Linked DNA regions of Saccharomyces cerevisiae S288C. Changing the gene in region 1 together with any one later gene gives a genetic interaction. Each region holds a gene or a part of one and is shown on either strand. Other genes may lie near its edges.

Region 1 (10,768 bases):
CGAATCACCGAGTAGCTCACGTAACGGTTTGTTTCTCACACCATTTGTCATCAAAGCTGGATGGCGTCCTATTCTTTGTGTGGGTCTTTCTTCCTGGCTATTCTTTTCCTTGTTAATATTATCCTTTTCCTGTGTGCTTTTGATCATTTTCTTTGATTCTTCTTCCTTGTTATCCATAGATGTGTCATGGACAATCATTTCACCGTCAACGGACGGGTCATAAAGCACTATGGCAAATTCGTCTGTAGGGTCATGTAGAGGTCGAGGTTCTGGAGTAATTTTTTTTTTCATTCCTAACGTTAATGGCAGACTGTGTCTTTGTACATATCCCTTGATTGGCACAGTGAAAGATCTTCTCAAAGTGTACTGGATATGACTCAGTCTTGTCGGATCCTTGGCCAACCTTTGAGCACTAAGAGCATCCTTCCGTCGTTTAGTCAACTGAGAAAAACTTATGTCTTGGCTGTTGTACTCTGCTTCGTCCGCATTTATATCCAAGCCGGAATAACATACAGTCGCTGATCTTTTCCTCAAGCTCCTTCCTCCTACGATATTATCAGACCCGGTGGCGATTCTACCAGCAGCGGGCGGGATGTGCGTGTTCTTGTACGGGACCCTGAACGGTTTCGTTAGTCGGTTCACCGAGTCTTGTACGTTAATAGGCCTAGGTACCAGTCTCGGCCGTTCACCGGCTCCTATTCCATTTGGTGGTCTGTCTGGTAATCTGCGTCTTGCCATCAGTTATAAGGAAATATATATGGTACCTTGAAATAGAGCTAAGTTCTGAGCGTTTGATTTTTCTATACTTTCGTAGCAGCTTTAGTGAAGAAAGAGAAAAGTTGCTGCTCTAGATTTTGTATCGGCTATTACGTCAAGTGAGAAGAGTTTTGGCCTTCGCTTCAGTTAGATCTTCTATTATTTCCTTTTTTTTCTTTTTGTTTGTAATTGTTTTTTATTTTTTTTTTTGCGCGAAACTTTGCTATATTGGGTAACGCGTAAAATACTTTTTATTATTGCAGTAAGGCGGAAGGGTCTTCCCCTTTGCATGTTAAATAGCATACATGGCACCACTCAGGTCCAGAACGTGACACATCTTTGCACCACTTGTGTATTTTCAAGATGTTAAATTTTTGATACATAAGCTTTATCATGCAGGTGCAGTAGACGCATTTGCGTACGCGTTGAGTAGTAATGCAAGAACGCAACAATTTCACGCTTTCTACTTAAGAGGACAGATCTTCGAGCAGAATATTTTTCTCCTAGCGCGGCTTTCAGAATCTTCTTACCATCTGCAGGACATCACATGCAAGCACATGAAGCTGGAACCACGCACCATTAAATGTAAACCTACAGACATAGCTAGCACAGAAATGCTACTTTGGAAACCTCGGTTGCATCGGCTGACCTCGGCTGTTCAGCAACGTGAGCTGGTTGTTGTTATTGTTCATAGAATCCTGTATTTTACCAGTGTAGCTTTGTCCGCCCACCCCACGCTTTTGGCCACTAGTATGTACGTATATGCGTGGGCTCTATATCATTGAAAACGAATTTTCCACGCAAAACCCACTTCACACCATAAAGGCCTTATGACGATGTACATTCTTCCCCTCCCCCCTCCTCCCGAAGGAACCCTTATAGTGATCCTAATACGGTATAACGTAAACCGGAGTTGTCAGCAGAGAGAAGCGAATAATATGTTTTGCGTGGGGTTCCCACGAGCGGCAGGAACCGTAGCGCATTGAAAAATGAATCATCGATCATCTTTGGGTTTCAAGGGTTCGGACTTCGCCAAAGGTCCGAATACTTCCACCAGTATTTCTCTTTTTCCCTTTCCAGTCTCGTTCTTCGCCGAATCCCCGCTTTCCCATCATGATCGTTTCTCTGTTTCTCTCTTTCCGGAACAGGCTCTTTTCTGACCGCCAGTTCGTGCGGTTAGTTCTGTGGATCTTGCAGGCACTTGCCGGTTTAGCCACACTTCTCCGCTGTTTGTGTCGAATTTCCCTCGAGTATGAGAAAGACTGGACCACAAAAGAGGGAAAAAAAATGGGCCGATTTTAAACCATTATAGGTCACAGAAAAACTTTCTTACGACGGTGGTTTTTCAACAATACGTTTCTTGAGCAGGAGAGGAGCTTTGTTCTTTTGCCTTAGTTTTTTTTGTCTTTTTTTGTGAGCCATCCTGCTGTCGTTGCCATACATGACAGATCCACATTTGCCTTGTTGTTTTTAGTTTTTGTTCCTTGCACCATATAAAAGCGTCACTTGTATTTTCCTTACTCATCTAAACTTCAAGCTTTTTCGTCATAGTAGGTTTGTGATCTCGGCAAAGAAAAAAAATTTTTTTGCCGATCTTTCTGGTTATTGTTTCAGGTATCTTTATGAAAGTATTAGTGTACGCACTGGATTTTTGGTAGGTCTATAAAAGTGCAACACATAATCTAAATCATTGAGGTCATCGTATGTCAAAAGAAGATGTCCACAAGCATTACAGTAAGAAATAGAGATCGATCGCTACCACCGCTATTGCTCCCCAATGTTTCCCTGCTAGAAAAAGATATACGGCGTAAAGGCACCCAAAATGTGGGCATCACCGATCCAGAACTCTTGTCGACCACTTGGACGAGGAAGCGGGCTTTTCCGACTGACGAGCTTTTAGGAGGCTATAAGAGATTAAAGCCTGCTGCCGCTGACAGTAATGAGTGCGCTATTGGTATTGCCACGGTGACGCCGCCGCCAACGCTCCCCGTAAGTGCGATTGTTCCCCCTCCACAAAATTACACTCCACCATTGTTTGAGTATCATCCTCATGCTCTTGCTTCCATGGTCAATGAAGACGCTAATGCGTCATGCACTCAAATGTCTATAATTTCGCGCTCAACGAGCAACTCGACAACCTCCTCTGCCACATCTACTAGTTCAATTTCCAAGAGACAAAGAAGTGGCCCAAGTTGTGACAAATGTCGTTTGAAAAAAATAAAATGTAATGCGAAAATTGAGATTTTGCTTCAAGACGATACTATAATGCCAATGATCTCGAACAAGTTGCGGTACGTCTTGACTCCTGACGATATTCGGCTATATCGAGGCACGCTGTTGCGGAATATTGCCATACCGGATGATGTCATTGAGGGTACAGGCTCACGCAAGTTGATTAAGCATATTGATAAGTTGGTTTTGCTCACACCTTGTTTACCATGCATTAAGAAAAAGCATTCTTCTTCTTCCACTAATTTCCCAAAAAATGATAAATGTACTTTTTCAAAAGGCTTTACCAGAGCTGACATAAACATTTCATCCAAAATCTCCTTAAAATTTAAGGATAAAACCATTTACGACATAACCTATGATGACTATAAAAGCATTGATTTTTAGACAAAGGCATCTCTAATGAATAGCATCACAAAACTTGCATTTAGCATTAACATATATGGATATATATGTACACACAGAAAACGTATAAACACTCATGTATAACCCTACATAATAAGAGTATACAATGATACTAGTCATAAAAAGTATTGTGTGTATAGACGTGCGCATATTTTCAAAATATTATAAACCTGAACAATAGACAGAATAAAGTATGCAGCGCAACGACAACGATGATGGACAGCGAAAATTTCCCGTTCGATTGTGTCTCCGTATTATTATTACTCGATATTTGAGAATTCAAGAAATAAGACGACTGTGCCCACCCAAGAGCCACAATTGCCCATTGAATTGCTTGAACAGTCCTCAGGCGCTTGGACATATCCAATATATTCAATATAACACAAACGGGTATCCAGATCAAGTTAGCGTACCCGTAAACGGAAATCAATTCAGGAACACTTTTGAAGCTTCTATTGCGCTCCGAGTGCTCATCTCTATTCAATACTTGCATGGTAATAAATGGTACGCCGAACGTGTACCCGTAAAATAGCCAAATAGAATGCAGTAGCTTCTTAAACTGACTGGCCCTGTCGATGTCCTCACCAGTCTTGACGCCCTCAATTACGTCACTGATAATAAAATTTAACCCCCTACTCATGGTAAAATTGATCATTACCACCGTGGCAGTGATCCATACAGCACCGTATAAATCAGTGTTATCTTCGTTACTTTCGGAATTATGATCGTTTCTAAACGTCAGTACCGCGGACAATCTCTTTTTGAACTGCGTCAAATCGATCTGGAAGTATTTAGAATAGTAGTTTATCAATCCTGGCCTCAATCCATTACGCCCAAGACCGTCGTTGTCATTCTGTCCTATCACTTGGTCGTACGCTGGTGGGTCCATTTGACCCTGTAATGGTGCGGATTCTGCCTTACTGCCCGTTGTGTTATAAAATTCGCTACCCTTTCCAGCAGTCGAGTTATTCATGTTTGGGCTATCAGGTACGGTGGCATCATCAAATGGGTTGGGCTCGTTGCCAAAATCATCTACACCCTCGAGATCATCGTCAATATCTAAAAAACTGCTATTATTGGACGGCATTTTTCTGCTTTTGTCGAGTCAATCCTATTTGCTAGTATACAATCGTGGATGAAGCGTAAAAAAGAACTACAGAACCAATGCGTTTGGATCCAATGTGGTCGCTGCCCTTGGCCCCTTTTACCTTGAGCGTAGGACGTTGATACATTTTCACTGCTTGAGAAATTAGGTATAATACACAGCCGGGTAAATAGCGTTTAATTGATCGCTGCTCCGTAATACCGATATACTGTTACGTTATGTATTGAAAATACAGTTTAACTATTATTTGTAGGGATACTACTATGGGGTCTCAACCGCACTTAAAGGCGCTAAAATATTTTGACTTTTCCTTCCTTATATTGTAGACGTGTTATTTAAAAACTACATTTTCCATATCTCGTCGCCAGAAACTTCTAATTTGGTAAGCCTTCCAATAAATATGAAAGAATCCCCTCTCATAACGTTGGTTAAAAGACATTCCGAGACACATTTTGCCAATATCAAGTATGGGTATTATGTGTTGATAATATCATTGGTCTATCTCATTGGATTGGCTCTTTTGAGAGCTTTCGGAAGGAGAACCCCATCCAGATCGTCGTCAGCTTTCAAAAATAAGATAATTTATCGGTTGTATGATATAGATCCTGCAATTCACTTAGGTATATTGTTTTTTGCAGTCTTGATTCCATTTTATTACCATTACTCTTTGACTACCCAATCTACGGTCTATCTCAAAAGATTAGGGAGGTTGAGTTACGCCTTGATCCCGCTGAACCTATTCCTCACTTTAAGGCCTAATTGGTTCCTTAGGAAAAATTGCACCTACACTGATTTTATACCGTTCCATAAATGGTTTTCACGTATTATCACCGTGATTGGTTTGCTTCATGGGATTTTCTTCATCATTAAGTGGGCGATAGACGATAATGTCTCTCTAAAGCAAAAATTGATTCTGAAAACTTTCAATTTTGCGGGATTCATAATATCAATATTGGTACTTTTTTTACTTATTTGCTCGATTGGGCCAATGAGAAGATACAACTATCGTTTGTTTTACATCGTACATAACCTGGTGAACGTGGCCTTCATCTTACTCACCCCAATACACTCTAGGCCAGGTGTTAAGTTCCCATTTCTTCTACTAAACTGTACCCTATTATTCATTCATATTATCAATAGAATAGTATTTGCGAAATCCTTGATGATTTTGAATAAGAATGCGAATTATTCAAAAACAAATTTAGTCCATGTAAGATTGCCCAGGGCTATTCTTCCAGATTATTTTGAACCAGGGTCGCATATTAGAATAAGCCCTTACAGAAGAATTAATCCCCTCTATTGGTTGCTACCATCGCATCCATACACAATTGCGTCTTTGGCAGAAGACAATTCAATTGATCTTATTATAAAGGAAACCTCTACAGCCGAGCCAGGTAGCCAGATAGAGTCTCTTCGTAGTAATCCAAAATCCTTTCATTTAGATCAAGAAAAAACCTATACTTTGATTAATAGTTATCCTCCCTCTGTACCCGAAGAATGTTATTCTCAAGGCACGAATATAGCTATTATATGTGGTGGGTCTGGTATATCTTTTGCCCTACCACTATTTAGGCATTTTTTTAACAAGGAGAATGTAAAATACTTGAAAATGATCTGGCTGATAAAAGATTACTCTGAATATGAACTTGTTTTGGATTATCTCAAGACAAATGGGTTGACTTTTGAGAAAAAACTCTCGAATAATAAGAGGATTTCAGTATTTATTAGTGGAGAATACACGGCGGAAACACGGTTAGACGAAATTACGACCAATATCGACGATGAAAACTCAGAATATGAAATGGGATCTTTCAACAATGAAGACGAAGACCTTTCGATTTCTAATTTCAATTCAGAAAATGCGGACAGCAATGACAATACGCCAGAGACAAGTCATAGCCCCACAAAAGAGAATGGAAGCATGATCGAGGTAAAATCCAAACACAGTTTTACTCTTTCCAACGAATTGAAGAGCTTCAACAATGAAAGTGCACAAGTGAACCAAAATGAAACATGGTTGTTTTCATGTGGTCCTCCCTCGTTATTACAATTGTCTAAAAAATATTGTAACGATGAAAGGATCAACTTTGTCTGTGAGACTTACGGATTATGAGGGGAAAAGAAAAGAATAATAATGTCTTACGCAATATGCTCGGAAATGATATTCCACGACATTAGATGCTAATTTATAGTATATAGAAAACAAAAAATACATATCTGTTTTTTAATGACCTTTAGTTTATATGCTTTCTTGCGCGGCTATTAGAATACACTTGACAGGTTGTACGCATTATTAATCGGTAAATGGAGATATATTAGAGATGATCGTTTTAAAATGGAGGCTGTCTGCAAAAAAATTGGGAGCTACATTAGCAAAAAGCTTCTTTTCTTGTTGTTCTCGGTTTATATTTCAAGAGGGCAGTAGGAAAAAGGATCGAAAAGCTCGGCCTGTGGCCATGTCCTCTAAAAATCAAATATAATTTACTGGCCAACGTTATCGGCTCTTTTTGATATCTATCATCTCTTTAGCTATTGTTATCTGGCAACTGATTCAACTGATATGAACAATTCCATAATTACTGATGATGAGGTTAGAGAGTTTTACTTAAACTGCTCTTCTCAAACAATTATTGAATCTCTTCTCAGCTTGCACGAGTCATTGAGATTATATTCTCAAAACCATGAGATACTGCTCAATAGGATGTTCAAAAAATTGGATGAAACCAATGCAGACTCTAACATATCCCATATATTCATGCCTGTTGTGAGCAAGGATTTTTCAGGAATAAAAATTCTTGTGAATAACAACAACAAAAATTTTCAAGGTGTGATAAATGTTATTGAGCCTGAAACAGGAAAATTAATCGGATGTTTTGAGGCTAAACAAATTACCGCTATAAGAACTGCCCTTGCATCGTGTATCGGTTTATATAAGCAACTCTCATGTTCCCATGATAAGTTGTTTAGATTTGAAAATGGCACTTGCTATTTAACATGTTTTGGTACCGGTCTCCAAGCATTTTGGCACATATACATAGCTATTAAACTAATCATGTCAGGGATTGTTGGCGAATCTTTGAAGTTAGTTGAAATAAACATACTATATCACAATAACATGATGAGTTTGGATCGTTTGAAATCATTGAAAAACTTATTTGGAAGTAATATAAAGATAGAGCTTAATCAGTATCAAATAAACGACATCAGTTCAGAAGGTAATGGCGCTGTTTCTAACAGTGATATTATCTTTGGTTGTCTACCTACTCTAGAGCCCAACTTGTTTTTGAGGCAGTTGCTAAACAGTAAAGCTTCTGTGGAGCAGAAACATACTTATATCTCATTAATTGGAAGTTACAAACCAGTGATGCACGAATGCGATAAGGAGTTGATTGATAAGTTCAAATCTGATAATGAAAGCGCTTGCATTTTGGTAGATTCAAGGGAACATACTTTATTGGAATCTGGAGAATTAATCGATTCCAATATCGCTCCACATAATCTCATCGAAATTGGTGAATTAGATACTTTGAAAAACACAGTTTTGAATTTGAACGAAAAGGGCTGCAAAAGAACTATCACCTTGTGTAAAATTGTTGGTCTAGCGGTTATGGACGTGGCGCTTGCTAAGGAATTCTTAAGCTTGAGAACAAAAAACACAGAAAACAAGGAATAAATTGCATCTTGGCTTCTAGTTTTTTTATATTCAAAAGGGTTCTTAAGTGTTTTTAAATATGATACTTTTTTTAATATCTTACGATCCGGAAGAGATTTTTGATGTTTACATATGAGCAGTTTGATAGAAATTTTGCAATTTTTTATATTTATTAAAAGAATAAAAGTAAAGTGCAGAAAGAAAACAACATCATAAAATATGAAAGAAAAAAAAAGGCAATGTTAGTGTTATGAAGGGAGAAACAATTACCGTATACTGTTTGCAGGTGTCTATCCTCCACGGTATAGCACGTTAGGACCATTTATTCGCGCTACGGATATAGAGTTTAAAATGACTTAATTACATGAATAATACCATAATTCTTATAACCGTCATCAATCTAACGAAAGCTAGGAGCAATTTTCAACATGTATTTCAAGAAATTAGCAATAGAAAAAGAATTGAACAGATATGAAGATTTTTGCCATATTTTAAAGAGAGGCTGGTGACTTTTCTCTGTCGATCTGTGCATAGCCAATATTAAAGTTATTTTTCATTAACGCGCATATGGAAAATAGACAAATGTCATAGGGTTATAGTTCTTAGATTTACTATTCTCTATTTGATGTCGGCGAAACAATGTTCCTGTTTTTTAACCATATTTATGTTCCACCTCGATAGCCGCTGATTATTAAAAAGATGTAGGCTTGTATGGAAATTTTCGAGACTCCATTTTTGGACGAAAGCAATGAAAATTATATACAGAATATTCCAGAAGATCACCTCAAAAATCCAAAAATATGATCAGTGATTTAACAAGAAAACCGAAGATTTCTATTGTTCCTTCGAAATTTTTTCAGTTTTATGTTCAATCTCTATGTTTTTCTTAAAATGATAAAAGGTCGTCCAGCTTGGTGAAGCTTACATTTAAATTAAATAAATTGGTGTGACTGAATAGAATAGCGTCCTTAATAACTAGAGATTACATTGTAGATGAATAACAACTAATTAATTCAAAAAAAGTAATCGTTAACTATTTCCGGAAGAAACAAAGGCTCATTATCAAATTTGATGATCACAACCAATGTGTATTTAAATAAAGGCCAATATCTCACGGTCTGTTGAATCTAAACTAACTATTGAAATATTCATTTGTTCAGAAAAAAAGATCATTAATATTACATGTACTGATATGCTAACAATCCAAAAATGCTTATACTACATATTGTTGTACACCATGGGTACCGTTAAATGACAGTGTAAACAATTGCAGAAGGAAATGTTACACTAGCGGTTAAACAATACTGAATTAAAGATTTTTTAGTTGAATATGATATGACAGTTATATACGTGAGCAATATAAGTCCCCACATTGAGTGTATGATAACTACCGGAATTACTATCATATTGTTCGTAAGCAATAATAAATCAATTAGTGTGGGTGTTTTATACCTCTCTCATATGAGTATATAAAGATCCTTATTTAATTTTGATTATACTATCTTCTAGCCTTCAATTATCGACATCGCTCACTTGAGCAGTTCATCTAAGAAAAAAAGAACTATAGCTAAATAACCCAGTATTATTTGTTTCGCTGTAGGTTGTTGCACAAGGGTTTCTTCTGTGAACATTTTGAATTGTACGCTTAAGATGATAATACCTAACTGATTCCAACCTATATTAGTAGAACCGAAACATACAAATAAGTGGTTGTTTGGCCGAGCGGTCTAAGGCGCCTGATTCAAGCAATATCTTGACCGCAGTTAACTGTGGGAATACTCAGGTATCGTAAGATGCAAGAGTTCGAATCTCTTAGCAACCATTATTTTTTATCTTTTTGGTTCTGTGATCAAGCTACCCGCGTTTGAAGCCGACTAAAGACGAGAAAAATTAGACCTTCATTTTTGCCTGTTTGCTGCATGTAAAAGAATGTTGGTTGAACATGTCGTTTAAGAGAAGAAATCGGGTACGGCGCTCTGGCTTTTAAAATTGAAGAAATTGGTGTTCTTCCGGTTAATACTTTGAACTCGGCTTTTCTTAACATGTAATAAAGTTTGTTACATCTCCCATAATTAAGTTTCTGGAACACGCATTGTTCTATTTTTAGACGGGAGACCAGAACTTCCTGATATATGACCGCTTTTTAGTGACTACGTATACTTTCTTTCTGCAATTACGTGTAAGAAAAAATTGATTTTTTATTTTTAAATTCACGGAATTTCAGACTGTGAAAACTTTGTAGTTCCAACTCACTTTGCTATGCAAGAAAATAATGAGGGGAAACAAAAAAAAAATGAGAGCGGAGAAAAGAACAATGCAGCTCAAGTATGAAGAAGAAAGTCACAGCAACGGAAATAAAAATCAAAATTGCGAAAATTGACAATCTTGACAATCGAAGCGGAAAAACAATGGAAGGTCCAGATACCTGTTGACCTTAAAAATGCAGAAAAATCGCCTTTATACGGCGACATTGTGAAAAATGACGTTAAAATCTTGTACATAAAAAAAGGGAATTACAAACTTGTAGTGTTTTTTTTTTTTAGGGGACTTGCATGAAAGTTAAATTTTATAGAAGTAATTAAATAGTCGATTTCCTTTCCTGTGTGTGACGAATCTAGATT
Region 2 (9,561 bases), on another chromosome or scaffold:
ATACGAGTTCATCGAGGTACGCTTGTTGTTCAGGATCGTTGTCTGAGCCAAATCCGTCGTCACTGTCGATCAGATTGTCGCTACCATGGTCGTTTTCATTTTGCGTCCTTGTCAGCGAGTCGTTTAATATGCTGAGCATACCAAACAAACCCTCTCTTAGCTGGCTAATAGTCGAATCTGACAATAGAGGCCTATTATCCTTTAGCCTACGAATAGAAAAATATGGATGGAAGTTATGAACTATTTCGAGAACATCTTCGACGTTACATTCTTCTCCCATTTGCGGGGGGAATAGAACCGGTAATAGCCGGTTAGTAAATAATTTATCGACTATGGGGCCAAATTTGTACCATATTCGAGAAACTGCTGCTAAAGTATTGTACTTCATTTTGGGGCATAAATTTTCCAGGTCCACCGGATGAGTTAATTGCGTAGAAGTCAAAAGTAATTTTTCTGTGATCCTATCAATGCTTTCATTTGTATTCGTAGCAGAATAGTCCTGCGCAATTGTAAAAACGTCATTCAAAATATCAAAGGGCAGTGTGACCATTACTGAAGGACTTGCCGCGTCTGAAAAGAAGCTAAATTTTAGCAATAGATTAAGGGATTCTATGTAAATTAGCATATTGCTTTCAGAAAGTGAATGTGAAAGCTGCGCAGCATCCACATCACACATATGCCTTTTCATTTCAACAATAAATTTGGAGATAAACTCTAATGAACTGTTTACTGGTTGGTGGTAATCTAAATGAGGGGAGTTTTCAATTTTTTGTAACACATTTCTTAGTGTCTCAATCAGAACAAAAGAACGATTTGCATGTATCATGCTTTGGTTTAATAAAGGGTCGCATATCAAGCTTATTACCCATCCCAACTGAGCAGCTGCAGGGTCGCTGATCATAGAAAGAACTAAATCGGGGAGCACTTGAAACGATACTAGGTTGAGAATTTCCATGTCTTGTTCTTCGACCAATACCGGGAGCAGCAATTCGTTAACAAGAGGAGCCAGCTCATCCTCTATGTCGTTAATTTTAAAGTTTTGCCTTAAAAGCATATATTTAAGGTCATTGTCCTTAGTGGAACGATATTGCTCAATCAGTTTACTAATGTGCAAGCTCATTACTAGTTGCGGTAGAACGTGATGTTGATATAGCTGAGTGCAATGTAAACGATTTTGCTACCACTTGTGTAATGTAGAACAAGCTAACCTTAGCTATGTGTAAAAATTTTGTAGAGATGATTCAATAAATGTCACGAAAGGATTGTAGAAGGATAAGAAGCAAGAATTCACAAAAAAGAAATGCGTCACAGACAGGATTCGAACCTGCGCAGGTAAAACCCAATGCCTAATTGCTTTTCTGAGGAAATAGCAGGGCATCGCCTTAACCACTCGGCCACTGGGACACGATTACTTACAATGCACAGCAAGAGCACCCCAACAGTACTTTAAAAACTCTCCTCCAAATATGTCTGCAACGTGTACTATTTATTATAACGAAGATAAATAGTAATACCAATGGCCCATAAAAGCGTATTATTCCACTACCATCGGCCTCCCCTACCACTGAACAAGAGGAATGCGTTACGAGATGTAATCACTTATAACGAAGTGGTATATTCCGCGCCATAAGAAACAGCCATACACTTTACTTGAACAATAGAACATCACTGTAATATTAGAAACATCACCCCCCTTCTTACGAAACTGCCACAAGACAGAAATATGACAGAGGTTGTGGGATTCTGGGAGAGCGTGTCAGATGACGAATCAGAAGACAAAGACTGTATGGAGGTGCAGAACACAGTGAGTGCCGACGAGAGCCCACTTGTGCAGAGCCTTGTATCCTTTGTAGGCTCGTGCTCCATCAACCTACTTTTGCCCTTCCTCAACGGCATGATGCTCGGCTTCGGCGAGCTATTTGCTCACGAGCTCTGCTGGAGATTCAATTGGTTTAACCATAGAAACAAGGGGTATAAGGTGTACCCAGAGTCGCGCAAAATAGCAGCATTGAAAGAGATTTCAAGCCCTGGCACCCGTGGGAGGGTTGCGTCCAAGTTCCTTTAAACGATCACCAAAGCATTAGCAACCTACATAAATAAATACACACACACATACGGTAGATTATACGTAACCACATAACTGGCAATAGTTTCACAAGCCATAAAGCTAGCCACGGTATTACCCTCAAACGACCCCGTCTTGGGCGATAATCCCGCGGTGAAAAATTATTCGTTGAATCATCTCCAAATAAATGGATCAGTCATTGCCACGGTGATGAATATGAACAGCGCAGTGCATTTCAGGCAGCGCATAATATACGCTATCTCTATCACTACAGATAATATACTAAGATGTTGAATTTCGCATCAAGAGCGTCATGTGTGACAAGACGTCAAGCAAGCTTGTATTTTGTTAAAAATCAAGGCCCTAGATTAATAGCTTCCACTATTCCCTCGTGTCATTGGCCTTTGAGAGCGCAAGGAGTACAGCCCAACTATCCTTTATCTTTGAGATTTTATTCTACTGATAAGTCGAAAAGTGTTACGAAGCCCGTAGCTCCAACATCCACCGATGCTCCTGCCAAGCCCAAGGAGACGCTTATGGTCAAAGTGAAGCACGCCTTGAAACATTATGCTAATGGGACGAAACTTTTGGGTTACGAAATCAAAGTTTCTACTAAGCTTTTGATTAAATTTGCTCAGGGTTACGAGTTGTCTAGAAGAGAGAGGAACCAATTGAGGAGGACAATGGGCGATGTGTTTAGGTTGATCCCTTTTTCAGCGTTCCTTATTATTCCATTCGCCGAACTATTTTTGCCTTTCGCTTTGAAACTCTTCCCCAACTTACTACCCTCCACTTACGAATCCGGCAAGGATAAGCAAGCCAAGAGAAATAAGCTCATCGAGATCAGAAAAAAGACATCCGAATTCTTGCATGAGACTTTGGAAGAATCCAATTTGATCACTTACAACACCATTGAAAATGCAGAGAAGAAGCAAAAATTTTTGAATTTTTTCCGGAAGCTTTATTCTGCCAAGGAAGGTAAGATTATGACTTTCCAACACGATGAAATAAGCGCCATTGCGCAAATGTTCAAAAACGATAGCGTTTTGGATAACTTGTCAAGACCACAATTGGCAGCAATGTCGAAGTTTATGTCACTAAGGCCATTTGGTAACGATAACATGCTTCGTTACCAAATTCGTTCCAAACTAAAGGATATAATGAACGACGATAAAACTATTGACTACGAAGGCGTTGAAAGTTTATCGCAAGAAGAGCTGTATCAAGCTTGTGTGTCTCGTGGTATGAAAGCGTACGGTGTATCCAAGGAGGACTTGGTCGATAATCTAAAAGTTTGGCTAGAATTGAGACTGAGACAAAAAATCCCATCCGTCTTGATGGTTTTGAGTTCCACGTTCACGTTTGGAGGACTTCCAAAGGAGAACTATTCAAAGGCATTCTCGCCACTAGCTGAAAAAAAAGAAACAAAAAGCAAATATGACGACCTTTTGGATCTGTACTACGACGGTATATTACAAGTGCTAAGTTCCATTCCAGATCCCGTTTACAACGTCGCAAAACTAGATGTATCTGAATCGAAATCATCCGCTGCTGAAACTGAAGCTGAAAAGCAAGTTGCTGAAAAGAAGATAAAGACGGAAGAAAAACCCGAGGAAACTGCTATACCGAAGGAAGAAGCCACCGCAAAAGAGTCTGTTATAGCTACCACCGCTTCTGCGGTTACTCCTAAACTAGTCGTAGTTAATGAAAAGGCAGAAACAGCGAAGACAGAGGAAATATCTCAGGAAAAAGAGAACGCAGAGCCTACCGACTCTGCGGAAGCCACGGAAGCTGAAGAAAAGAAGACATCCGACGATAACGAGTTCAAATTGAACGTTTTGAAGGAGCAAGAAGAACTAATAAAGAAGGAGGAAGAGGAAGCTAAGCAAAGAGCTTCGAGAGAGCATGTGCCAGATGATATCAACCTAGATGAAGAGGAAGAAGCAAAATCTGTACCTCCCATTCCGGCCGATCAAGCTGCGAAGACTTTTGTCATTAAGAAAGATTGATATTAGATCAAAGCCTAAGAAAAAAACTAAAAAAAACTAAAAAAAAAAAGTCAATCGGTTCTCTTTTCTCTGACAACAATGGCAAAAGATCAAAGAGAAGCGTACGTCACGGCAAAACCAGCGACCCTTCAAAACTAAATTATTATGCATGTATATAATAGACACCCTATCTAAACTACCGCCTTATTTTTTTTTTTATACAGGAGCAAAGTGTCTTTTTTGTGATGGCCACGAGGGTCCTTTCACTCATGACTCCTTAATCAGCATCTTATGAGCTGGATTTTCATATATCGGCGATTTTTTTCATCGGTAATGCACGCAGTAAAGCTGCTCGCTCGAGAAAAATTAGTAATATATGGAAGAAGAAGCATAAGCATAAAAGAGAAAATCCGCTGCCCCACCGTAGAAAGCAAACAAGGCTATTGGTTATTCCTCTTTTCACCTGTACTTCAATCTGTAGCACATCATCATAAGAGGCTTGAAAGTTGCTCAAGAACAGTTTCAACGGTTTTTTCTTTTGAAATTTGAAAATTGCTCTTCGTTTGTTGAGCCGTTATCAAGGAAGTAAATCATCAATTAAAGAATATAGAAAGGCACAAAATTTTGTCATTTACGCACACTTTCAATGGATCATGAGACAACGAAGGTCTGTAGTAGCAGTTAGCGTAAAGCCCAAAGGCTTCAAATTGGGGCATAAACAGGGTTCCATGTCTACGACGTCTCCACCTCCATCCTCACCAGATGGAAATGTGAGTACATCAGGACCGTCAGCTATTAAGTTATCCAAGAATTGGGAGTTACCACAGCGCCTAAAACCGGGCCGCAAACCGAAATCCAAGCGCGGGGATGCATCAGCTAATAATGATGGATCGTCCAAGATAAAGAAGGTTCAAACTTCCAACCAGAAAGACCAAATGACCACAAAAGATCATGAGAACGAAGGCGCAAAAGGTCATGAGGGGAAATCTGATGATGAAGGCAACGGAAGTGGTGATGAAAACGGTGTCGATAGCGTGGAAAAGCGAAGGAGGCAAAATAGAGATGCGCAAAGAGCATATAGGGAACGCAGAACAACAAGAATCCAGGTTCTGGAAGAGAAGGTTGAGATGCTACACAATTTGGTCGATGATTGGCAAAGGAAATATAAACTGCTGGAATCTGAGTTTTCCGATACAAAGGAAAACTTGCAAAAATCAATAGCATTAAACAACGAATTGCAAAAAGCCTTGCCTTTGATTGTTAATACTCCATTTCAACAGCAGCCAGAAAACCCGCCAGACAATCCTATTTCGATATTAGAAATGGTAGAAAACTTTAAACCAATCGGCGCTGTCAGTTTAAAAAAAGGAAAGCTGAAGGCCCATTGTTAACATCTCATGTGCCCGCGGTATTAACAGACCAGTCTTTGTCTGAGATTGATATAGCCAACGATTATCAATATCTGAGCGGCAGACAGTTTAGTTCAACGAATTCATCGCTTGATGGCCATATTAATTCACCTCTGTCTTCATGCAGCAGCAGTATCAATGCATGTGCAGGCAGTGGCAACAAAAAAATAAAATGTTGTAGGAATAAAGATGCCATGAAACCAGTAACATGTTGCAACCAAAAGAATAACATAATGCCATCCTTAGTCCCCGTTTGCTGTTCAGAAAAGAAAATAGAATCCGATGCTAAGAAATCAATATCGAAATGCTGTGGAGACAAAGAAATCTACGATAGCGAGAATAGACCGATCACTAAAGAGGATGGGTCATGGATACCTGGAAGCTGCAAGCAATGTAGATCAGACCCCCATAGTAGGAATTTTTGTCAATCACTTTCGAATAAATGTAGTTCAAGCTCTTTCTCTTCCAACAGTGCGTTGTCACCGGATCTAAATGAACAACAAACTGACGTAAATTACAATTCAATCAAGCTACCCGAAATATGTTCCTGCAAGAATGCACAAATGAATGCGGCTTCCGATGCAAAGAGGTATCTGCCGATCAGTTACACATATCAAAAAATCCGTCAACATATGCAAAAAAATAAAAGTATCCAAGAACAACTAAATCCTGAGGATTCAACTTCGATCTCATCAGCGTTAGAGAACATTGCATCTGGATTGCACGTTCGTGGACAGAAAGTAGAATTGCAAAGCATCAAGGATGCATTACATAAGATGGACAAAAACGTCTTGGAATGATGTATTTAGAAAGAAAAGAAAAGTGGAAGCATAAATAGTGCATATAGATATAGGTATATATATGAATTTTTTAATAATAATATTAATGATGTTTTTTTATCTTAAGAACATTAAAAGTAAGCGGCGCTAACGGAATAATTAGAAACAATGTGGTAAAGAACGGGGGTGAAAACTCATAAAACCAAGTTATAAAGTTCTGCCAAAGCACGGAATATCAAAGGAATCTCAATAATTCCGGCAGCACCCTTTGATTTCGAGGACGATTGGCTGGACGAAGTAGCAGATGCGGCAGATTTTAGCAAGCTCGTTTCGCTAGCAGAAGGGGAGGAGGAAGATGCCTTTGAAGTCGAGGATGATGATTCAGAAGATGAAGAAGCGGAAGATGAAGATGAAGAGGAAGAAGAGGATGAAGAGGAGGTGTCGTCGTCTTCTTCGTCGTCATCGTCCTTAGCATCACAACTTTGTTGGGTGGCGATTCCGGTTCCCATAGGAGAACCTGCTCCAGATGTGAAGTAAGCAGAAGCAGCACTTGGCATAGCAGGCAAAGTGTTATTAGCTTCCCAGACACCCTTTTCATAATCAGGACATGTAGAATAGTTGTTGGAAGTACTGTAACCACCATTGCCTTCTGGGTTGGATACTTTGCTGTATTCATTTTTCAAGTTTTCAAAATCTGTCAATTTAGTGACCTTGTCACCATCAATTTGAACGAGCCCGTAATTGTTAGTTTCATTGGAATATTCGTAGACTAGCCCACCGGAGAATACAGAAGACATTTGAGTGGAATAGATAGCTTCAATTTCTGTGAATGGACGAGAGCTCTTGACTTGGTTACAACCAAATTCACTTAAGAAGACAGGAACGGAGTAATCTTGATATAGCTTCATCTTGGTGGAATAACCCGATACCACAAATGAAGATTCACCACACCAAGAATAGTCATTAACACCAAACATGTCGATTCTAGCGTCAGCTTCATCACCACAGTTAAAGTATTCAGCAGCCAATTGTCTGTTAGCGACGATATCAGCAGCCGAGTAACCTACCGGAATTTGTCTGTATTTTCTAGCCTTGATGTATTTCTTCATGTCCCTGACCACTGCCTTGACATAAGTAGCAGTGTTGGTAGTATTAACACTATTGATGACCTCGTTACCAGCGAAAAAACCTAGAACATTGTCGTAATCAGCAAAGGTATCAATGGTGGCAAAGACATTTTGTAAGTAGTCAGCGTTATAGGAGCAGGCTGGATCGTAACGAGAAATAGCACTCGTGGGGGTATTGACATCCAGGATCAAGTATATACCGTTCTCCTGCAATAGTTTCATACAATGGGAATGATCTTGCGAGTTATCCACAGTATAAACTCTGACAGTATTTATCCCTAGATCTTTCAGAACGGGGACGTCTCTGTCACAGACAGATGCGTCTGCTAAGGGATCAGTCAAGTTAGAAGAACCACCAGGCTGGTAATCAACACCACGGATATAAAACCTTTCACCTGATTCCGAATTAAAAAATGCATTGCCTTTAATTTCAATGGATGGTGTGGAACTGTTACTGCTGCTAGCAGCCTGAGCCAAACCAGCACTTAAAACGAAGGCACTTGTAAGAGAACGTAGTAACATAGCTATTTAGAGCTGTGTGTGTAGCGAGTGATATATAATATGTTTGTTACAGCCCACTGTTTACTTTTATATACGAAATGCAACACTGTCAACAAATCAGTTCAGGGACCTTCCTATTTATAGTATAAGCAAAATAAAAGTGAAAAATTTCCTGCGGAGTTTTTTTTCTCGAGAAATTGTGAACAAAAGAAAGCAAAGACACAGAAGATGATAAGAGAGAGAAACAACGAAGAAAGAACAACAATGTTGGGGTTCACCCGAGAGATATTGACATACTGACCTTAGAAAAGGCATTACTGAGGCTACTGACTAAAGCGCGTTACATAAATGCATAGTATATTTCTTGTTGTATACGCAGCGGCCAACTAGTGGCAGCAAGAATGTAATGAACGATTCATCTGCAGGTTTGGAGGCCGCAACTAGATCAAAACGTAAATAGCGGGTGAAGTGTTCTGGACGTTAGAAGTAACGTCCGCAGATCGAAGCTAAACACGAGATTAGATTTCGGGTAACGGAATTGTGATAATTAAGAAAGACCAGACTATGTGAAAAGGCCACGTAAATGATAGAGCACACATTAGCAACTATAATAGACTAGTTTTCGCATCGCTGGAAGTTCTCGATATTGAATATCACTTCCAAGAACGCAAACTTAGAATGGTCCGGATTCTTCCCATAATTTTGAGCGCCCTATCTTCGAAATTAGTGGCGAGTACAATATTGCATTCATCCATACACTCAGTGCCATCTGGAGGCGAAATCATATCTGCAGAAGATCTTAAAGAACTTGAAATTTCAGGGAATTCGATCTGCGTTGATAATCGTTGCTATCCTAAGATATTTGAACCAAGACACGATTGGCAGCCCATACTGCCAGGTCAAGAACTCCCCGGTGGTTTGGACATTAGAATAAACATGGACACAGGTTTAAAAGAGGCAAAACTAAATGATGAGAAGAATGTCGGTGATAATGGTAGCCATGAGTTAATTGTATCTTCAGAAGACATGAAAGCATCGCCTGGTGACTATGAATTTTCCAGTGATTTCAAAGAAATGAGAAACATCATAGATTCTAACCCGACTTTATCTTCACAGGACATTGCCAGATTGGAGGATAGTTTTGATAGAATAATGGAATTTGCGCATGATTACAAGCACGGCTACAAAATTATTACCCATGAATTCGCCCTCTTGGCCAACCTTAGTCTCAATGAAAATTTGCCGTTAACATTGAGAGAGCTCAGTACTAGAGTCATTACCAGCTGCTTGAGAAACAATCCTCCTGTAGTCGAGTTCATTAATGAAAGTTTTCCAAATTTTAAAAGCAAAATCATGGCCGCTCTGTCAAATTTGAATGATTCTAACCACAGATCCTCTAATATCCTAATAAAAAGATACTTGTCCATTTTAAACGAATTACCTGTCACATCCGAAGATCTTCCTATATACTCTACGGTTGTTTTACAAAATGTATATGAAAGAAACAACAAGGACAAACAGTTACAAATAAAAGTCCTGGAGTTGATCAGCAAAATTTTGAAGGCCGACATGTACGAAAATGACGATACAAATCTAATTTTGTTCAAAAGAAATGCTGAGAATTGGTCGTCAAATCTGCAAGAGTGGGCAAACGAGTTCCAAGAGATGGTCCAGAACAAAAGTATAGATGAA

The links.
Region 2: mutations in AIM14 (region 1) and YOL029C together harm fitness more than expected from each alone (negative genetic interaction), as found in Saccharomyces cerevisiae (one large-scale study listed by BioGRID).

What each region holds. Positions count from the first base shown.
Region 1 is NC_001139.9:195,666-206,433, forward strand, and holds AIM14 (putative metalloreductase), read left to right. Parts: upstream 1-4,895; coding exon 4,896-6,608; downstream 6,609-10,768. Other genes in the region: DNA-dependent ATPase RAD54, read right to left, coding at 1-738; SUT1 (Sut1p), read left to right, coding at 2,473-3,372; YIP5 (Yip5p), read right to left, coding at 3,545-4,477; YGL159W (uncharacterized protein), read left to right, coding at 7,056-8,168. UniProt on the Saccharomyces cerevisiae protein: Probable cell surface metalloreductase. May be involved in iron or copper homeostasis.
Region 2 is NC_001147.6:266,516-276,076, reverse strand, and holds YOL029C (uncharacterized protein), read left to right. Parts: upstream 1-5,656; coding exon 5,657-6,262; downstream 6,263-9,561. Other genes in the region: LAG2 (Lag2p), read right to left, coding at 1-1,120; MIM1 (Mim1p), read left to right, coding at 1,724-2,065; ribosome-binding protein MDM38, read left to right, coding at 2,353-4,074; YAP7 (Yap7p), read left to right, coding at 4,707-5,444; GAS5 (1,3-beta-glucanosyltransferase), read right to left, coding at 6,436-7,890; SIL1 (Sil1p), read left to right, coding at 8,548-9,561.